Drosophila melanogaster: one gene and its partner. The protein of the gene in region 2 interacts with the protein of the main gene of each other region in a pairwise test. Each region holds a gene or a part of one and is shown on either strand. Other genes may lie near its edges. The genes, in order: Icmt and CG15908.

The links.
Region 1: the proteins of CG15908 (region 2) and Icmt interact in a two-hybrid assay, tested with the Drosophila melanogaster proteins (one large-scale study listed by BioGRID).

What each region holds. Positions count from the first base shown.
Region 1 is NT_037436.4:13,016,582-13,020,465, forward strand, and holds Icmt (isoprenylcysteine carboxyl methyltransferase), read left to right. Parts: upstream 1-1,684; 5' UTR 1,685-1,799; coding exon 1,800-2,039; exon of another isoform or gene 2,040-2,106; coding exon 2,107-2,478; exon of another isoform or gene 2,479-2,529; intron 2,530-2,606; coding exon 2,607-2,894; 3' UTR 2,895-3,106; downstream 3,107-3,884. Other genes in the region: CG11267 (uncharacterized protein), read left to right, coding at 6-152; mRpL20 (mitochondrial ribosomal protein L20), read right to left, coding at 612-768, 823-1,031, 1,095-1,181; Adk2 (adenosine kinase 2), read right to left, coding at 3,709-3,884.
Region 2 is NT_033778.4:6,666,301-6,669,380, reverse strand, and holds CG15908 (uncharacterized protein), read right to left. Parts: upstream 1,232-3,080; 5' UTR 1,197-1,231; coding exon 1,125-1,196; intron 1,073-1,124; coding exon 674-1,072; 3' UTR 643-673; downstream 1-642. Other genes in the region: CG9410 (uncharacterized protein), read right to left, coding at 1-221; Adf1 (Adh transcription factor 1), read right to left, coding at 2,004-2,308, 2,368-2,661.

The DNA of each region.
Region 1 (3,884 bases), on a different chromosome or scaffold from region 2:
CGCAGTCCACTGGCAACCACATTCCCATTGGCGTGAAGGAGGGCGATCGTGTTCTGCTGCCCGAATTCGGTGGCACCAAGGTGAACCTAGAGGGTGACCAGAAGGAGCTGTTCCTCTTCCGCGAGTCCGACATCCTGGCCAAATTGGAGTAGATCTCGCCTCCGGACACTGTCTCACAATTCTATGAATTCTATGCTTTTTATTAGTATGTAACACACCCACAAACCCGAAACTAAAAACTACAATAAAAGCTCATGCAATATTTTTGTTTGCATTGCGCATGGACCGTCATTGAATAAATTTCGAGTTACTTGTTAAAACTAGCAGCACAGGTGTTTTGTCATTAATCACATTTGTCATTTTACTCGAAAAAATATTGGATTCATTCGCGGAAAAGGTAGTTGCAGTAAATAAATTAATGATTTAGTATCAAATTTCATTCAGCAAGCAGAAGTTACGAATTATGTAACTAAATGTAAATACGAATTCGGAGTTAAAAACTAATCTAAAGAACAAATCCCAAACGATTTTACTCCCTTCAAAGTGAAAATTAAAGATTACACGTTTAAAACATACAAATATCTATATTTGAACTCCTACTTAAGGCTATGTTAATCCAACTTCAGGTTGCTCAGTCCATAGACCTGGTTAAATGCCGATCTCCGTTTGATGTCTGGCATTCCCTCCACAGCTGCCCGCTCTCGAGAGATCTTTACTAGAGCTTCAAAAGATCGCGGCTCCCAAATGGCGAGGTCGGATAGGACTTTTCTGAAAGATGTTATAGGTTGTTAAAGGATATGGGAATTTTCCGGTGGTACCCACTTGTTGAGCAGAATATCGGAGCGCGCGAGGCCCTCTTTGAAGGTTTCCAGACCTACTCCATACTGCTGACAACCCGCCTCCACGCGTGTGCTCCACAGTTGCGCCATGTCCAGTTTCTTTAGCTTTCGCCCCTTGGTGGCATAGGCCAGTGCCCTATGGACACTCCGGATGGCGAAGGAGTAGACATTGCGAGTGCGGCTTCTATAATGCTGCAGAAATTAAGCACTAAGAGCTCATTATTTTTATTGTGGCCACGATATTCGGAAACATACCGCTGCCAGCTTGAAGATGCGTCTCTTCCGCCAGAATTCGTCCGGACCACGGGACCGTACCAGCAAGGGAAGGTTCAGGAAGACCATGGCTTGATATTAACAGAATATCGGTCGAGTTTTTATATATTTTTAATTGATCTCAACGACTCTACTTGTTATTTTACATAACCTGCACGGCGCTAAAATGAGCATGTTATCGATAAAATATCGATGCAAGGCGTGCAGTTAAGAAATTTATTTAAAAAGGTATAGGTGAATACCTACAAATGTAATTCATTTAAGTTACTATTAAATTTTTTCTGACTATATAAAATTAAATTAAATCCTCAGAACTCGATATGTCGATATGTAACAGTGCATAACTATCGCTTATTGTTACAGGGGGTATAGGCTAAAGAGAATTGCCCGCATAATTTATTTTTAAAACCATTTTCTGCTAAACGTGGTGTTAAATATTTATTTATTTAATTTAATTTATGATTTATGATTTATTTTATTAAAAGCTGTAAGAATTATATTACTGATTTCTATGATAATCACGAGCCTATACTTTAGCGGTTATTCACTGTGCTGCCTATCGTTATCGAAAGCTTTGCCGGTTTATTTACATTTTGGCGCATTAAACCAAGCAAATGTTTTAAAAAACCTCAATTTCCGTGTTTTTGCGCACAGCAGCAGCACAAAAAGAATCCCGATTCCCCAGTTATGTGTGCAAAGAGCCGAGTGGCTTCTCCTGGGGCCGGTGGCACCAGCCTGTGTTCCGAAGGCCGCATCAGTTTATATTGCTTTCTGATTACTGCAGCTCTAGTCCTGATTCCCTCGGTGCCCCAGAATCTTTATGGAGTGGTGCCACAGGTGTGGGGCGCCGTCCTCTGGGGTCCATTTTTGTACTACGCCCTTATTAACATGATCATACGGTTTGTGCTGCGGAACCACGACTACCAGGTGAGTCAATCGATGAGACGCGATAAACCTTATCAGTGCTATGGCGCTAACTATTCTTGCACCACAGGTGGCCATTAGGGCATCCTTCCTGGGCTTTGCCATGGCCGTGAGTGTGCTGGTCATCTGCTTTGCTCCCACCGAGTGGCAGCAATTTGGCGCCTACGGATGCTTCATGTCCCTTTTCCACTACTCGGAGTTCCTCGTTATCGCCTTTGCCAATCCGCGCACTCTCAGTCTCGACTCCTTTATGCTGAACCACTCTGTGCACTATGGACTGGCGGCGGCAGCCAGTTGGATCGAGTTCTCACTAGAGGTGTACTACCTGCCGCAGTTCAAGAGATACGGATACATTTGGGTGGCGGGCGTGGTCCTGTGCCTGCTGGGCGAGATGGTTCGCAAGGCAGCCATCATCACAGCTGGCCGGAGCTTCACTCACTTGGTTAGTCGTGATGATTTGTTAATACATGGACATATAAATATTATTGCACTTAAGGAATTATCACACTATTATTAATTAAAACTAACTAAATAGCTTGTAAACTTCTCATCACACATCTATTCCTACAGGTCCAGAATGAGAAACACTCGGAACACAAGCTAATAACAAGCGGGATCTACGCCTACTGCCGCCACCCGTCTTATGTCGGCTGGTTCTGGTGGTCCATCGGAACCCAGATCGTGCTATTGAATCCCATCTGCATATGCATTTACACACTGGTCAGCTGGCTGTTCTTCCACGATCGCATCTACGTCGAGGAGTACTCCCTGCTCAACTTCTTCCAGTCGGACTATGTGCGCTATCAAAAGCGGGTGCCAACGGGCCTGCCCTTCATCCGGGGCTATCTGGTCGATTAGTGCCTCTGATCTGGGGTTCAATGTCACAAGTCGCCATGGCAAACAAAACAAAATTCTATTTTAGGTTTAGGTATACAAGGTATACAGCAGTTCTCTTTTGTATAGCAAAAAAAAAAGATTTACAAGCACATTGTTTTTTCCAAATAAGTTTTCTAATATTTAGCATGTTGTTTTGTATTCATAAACTAGTCAAAGCATGTTGCTGAACTGATAATCTAATCTTCTTTTTTGGGTTAATTGTGAATTTATGGGCCGCATTAGCAAGCAAATGAAACAGCTGCGTGTTTCACAAGTTTTATTTAATGTTTAACTCGTCTATCTATCGTTGTTGATAATCTTATCTGCTGATGACTCCTCGTTGTAACTTTGGACATTGTAGTCGTATGCATTATTCTCCCGATTGGTATCTTATACCATAAATGGATAAGAAACCCAATAAATAAAAGGATGAGGAAATAAACCTCCTTTCACCTCTTATCTGAAAATCAATACAAAGATTTCAAGTTGTACAAAATGTTGACTTTTGTGTCTCGCTCGCGTGTCACTTTTGTTTTATTATCAATTTAAATTCGAATATTGCTCTATCTATAAGACACAAGCCTCACTCTCTCTATTTGTTCATGTCATTTCACATGTGTATGCTTTTGTATGTGTCTGAGTGTGGGTTATATGTATGTACAAACAATTATCAGTGTTAACAAAATCTTTTAGTCACTCTCATTTACTTAATTAACAATTGCAAATCTTGCTGCGCTTTGTCTGGCTCCTTCGATGTCCGATGTGTGTAAGGTTTCTGTAGCTTCCGCATCCGGTTTTACTCAACGAACTCCGGTTCGCCGGAGTATGTGCAACCTGGATTCTTGATAATGTGCCCGGCTGCATAGTTTCCGCACCTGATGCAGACATCCAGCGACTTGCCCTGCACAAACTGCGATAGGAAACCTCCAACGAATGCATCCCCAGCGCCATTGGTATCGACAATTTCATGCA
Region 2 (3,080 bases):
GTTATGTAGGACCGGTGGGTGCTGCTGGAGAAGCTGCGCTGGTGTCCTCCACTGCAACAGGATAAGAGCAATCTGAGTGTCACGATCAATTTTGCTGCCGCAATGTTACGGTTTGGAGTCGGCCTCGGGTTATGTAATTTACATTTACCTGCTGACCTTGTTTCAATAAGGGGCCATAGGATTCTGACGTCCAGGGCTTTCAGTGTGCTACCCTTTAGCATTTTAGGCAAAGCTGGAGCGTTGGGATGCGGATGCGGAATAGGTATGTAGGTAGATATCAGCCCGTATCTGAAGTATCGCACAAAATGTGTCGTCAATACAGCTATTTTTTAGCTAGATTACCTATTCTCAGCATTACTGTTCTTAGACCGATTACCACTGCTAACGTTTATTAGATTTTACACAACTTGTTTGATTCGTAATACAAACACCTAGACTTTGAAAGCAAATGAGTTTTATAAGAAAAATGTGTCTTTACGTGTTTAATGAAAGCAATAATAATAATAAATGTAATAAATGTTAATAAATGTAGCAGCACTATCAGAAACAAATACAGCTGACACGAGCGTTGCCAGACCGCCGATTATTAGAAACCATTGCTGAAAAACTGAAATCTTTTAAGAACAATGAAACAACTTCCTTCTTTTCTTAACTAATAATTTACTATTTATCTTCACATGATCGTGCACAGCGAGCGTTCCTCTCCTTGCGGCGCCGCCTGTCCAGAGAGCTCTTTTTGCTTAAGCTCAAGATAGGTATTCTCGTTTCGCTTCTCCATCCAGTCCGGCAGAGGAGCAGCCCAATCCAGCGGTGGCTTCTTACGCTTCTGCCAAGTGTCGTTGGCAAAGTGGGCGCGCAGGCGGATCCTTCGGCGCTCCTCCTCGCTTTTAATCACCGCTTTGCCGGCAGCCACATCGTTCCCGTTGGACTGCTGATATCGTTCGCAGTTACGGTAATCAGTTAGCCATTGGGAGCAATCTGTGTCCTTGCCAAATATAAAGTACTGGTGGAAGCGCGCCTTAAAACTCGTGCAGTCGTCGTACTCCTCCTTGTACAGATGACAGGGTCGGATCTGTAAAGGGGATTCCTGAGTCTCGGATCTGTTAACGTAGCTGGATACTTACTGCCCATGCGTCATCTAGTGATTCCTTTGATTTGTCCGATTTTGAGTCAGCATTATCCGATTTTGTGGCCATTTCAATTACATAAAATCAATCATTAGCCCGCACAGCTGATTTTGTTTATGCCGCTGGCTCGCGGCGTTGCCATATCACCCCGATTGAAACTAGTCGGTTACTTTCAAATGTTTCATTTAATACCAAATAATTGCACAATTAATCATTAAAAATGTTTAGCAACTGGCGTTGCCGGCAACTATTTCGATTTTACTCGTATCCATGTAAAGTGTGTAATATGCGATCACTATGAAAAAGGTGTTTTATGTTTCCCTTTGTCACACTTAATTAAGCATTTCAAAGTGTCTTTCAAGCGTTTTCGGCATATTACAACAGAACTTATAAAATTAAAATAACTTTTACGTGTATACTTAGTTTTAGAGCTAAGACCCGATGGCAAATTACAACTAAATCGTAGTCAAAATTTACAATACGCTGCATATAAAGTGTTTCCACGGTCTTTTAACAAGCTACTCATAATTCTAGAATCGCTATTTTCAATCGCATTTTTTGTACAGAGCTGAGAACTGGGCGCGAATTAAATCACCGATCATGGGGTCAACTAAGCATATAAATATATATGTTTGTCTACATGGGCGTGGGGAAGTATCATTACGCGTTATGGTTTACGCTGTGGGATGTTACGTCTAATGTTATTCTGTAGTTTGACTTTAAGACCTATGAACTGTAGAAAATGACCGCACAGGACCCCCAAACCCGTGTAGATGTGGATGTGGGTAGCCGTGGGTCTGTTCTCGTTTGATCTCAGGGCAGAACGCTCTCCAGTTGGAGCAGCTGCAGCAGCTGCCGATGACAGCCGCCCGACAGTTAGTACTTGTTGTGCTGTGCCAGAAGCTGCATGTCCGTCAGATACTTGATGATGTGCACCTTCGCCTCTGCCTTTTGTCGCACGCCCAGCGTGTTGAGCATGTCCGTGACTACCATGCCGAACGACTGGTCCTCGGCGCTGACCGCCTGCGAGACGTTGTTTTGGAAAATCTTGATGGTGTTGAGCATGTTGTCGCTGTGCTCCTCCTCACTGCGCTCTCGCTTGAGCGGCGGCTCGTAGAAGTATGGCTTTTGGTCCTTGCCCACGGCAGTGGCCAGCTGTGCATCGCTGGTGACAGTAATTTCTGCAAGAGACCGAAGTATTTAGCAGGGATCTCTGGTGCTGAAATGCTGGTTCACCTACCATGCGGATGGGTCAGTGCCTGGGCCGAGGTTGTGGCGCTGCCGTTGAAGGGCTGTGCAAATATATCCACGACGGTCTGTTGCTGCGCCTGCTGCTGCTGCGACGGATCGGCCACCTGGTTGGCGCTTTGACTCCCATTGGCGCACTTGCCGAGCAGCGACTCTCGATACTGGCGGATGGAGTCAACCAGGAATTGCATCTGCTTGAAGTAACGCCAGCGCGATTCCTGACATAGTTTCATCTCGCGGGCGAACTTGTCGCGCAGACTCTTCCAGCGCTTCGTACATTTTTGTTCTAAAATGAAAAAGAGTTGTTGGTTTATGATTATTAAATGTCCATATTTAATAGTTATTAAACTAATGTTGCCTTTATGTATGCATTGTCTATTAACCCACATTTAATATATGTATGATCCAAAATAAAGAAGCCTTAAGTTCTGAAAACTCAATCTACTATTTTATTGCTTGGTTGGTAGATTTTAAAAAGGTCGCATAAGCTCATATTTCGTCTGAAATTTGCGTCACATTTTTTTGAGAAATTACTGACTGCCTTTCTAATGACTCACTTAAAAAATAATAAAAAAAATGTTTTTAGTAAGCCGAAAATATGTATCACATGTTTCCAAAAGTCCATCAGCTAACTTAAACAATATTTTACATCGGCTAAACGGATGAGCTGGCTGACTCAATATAGATTGTTTACTCTAGCAACGA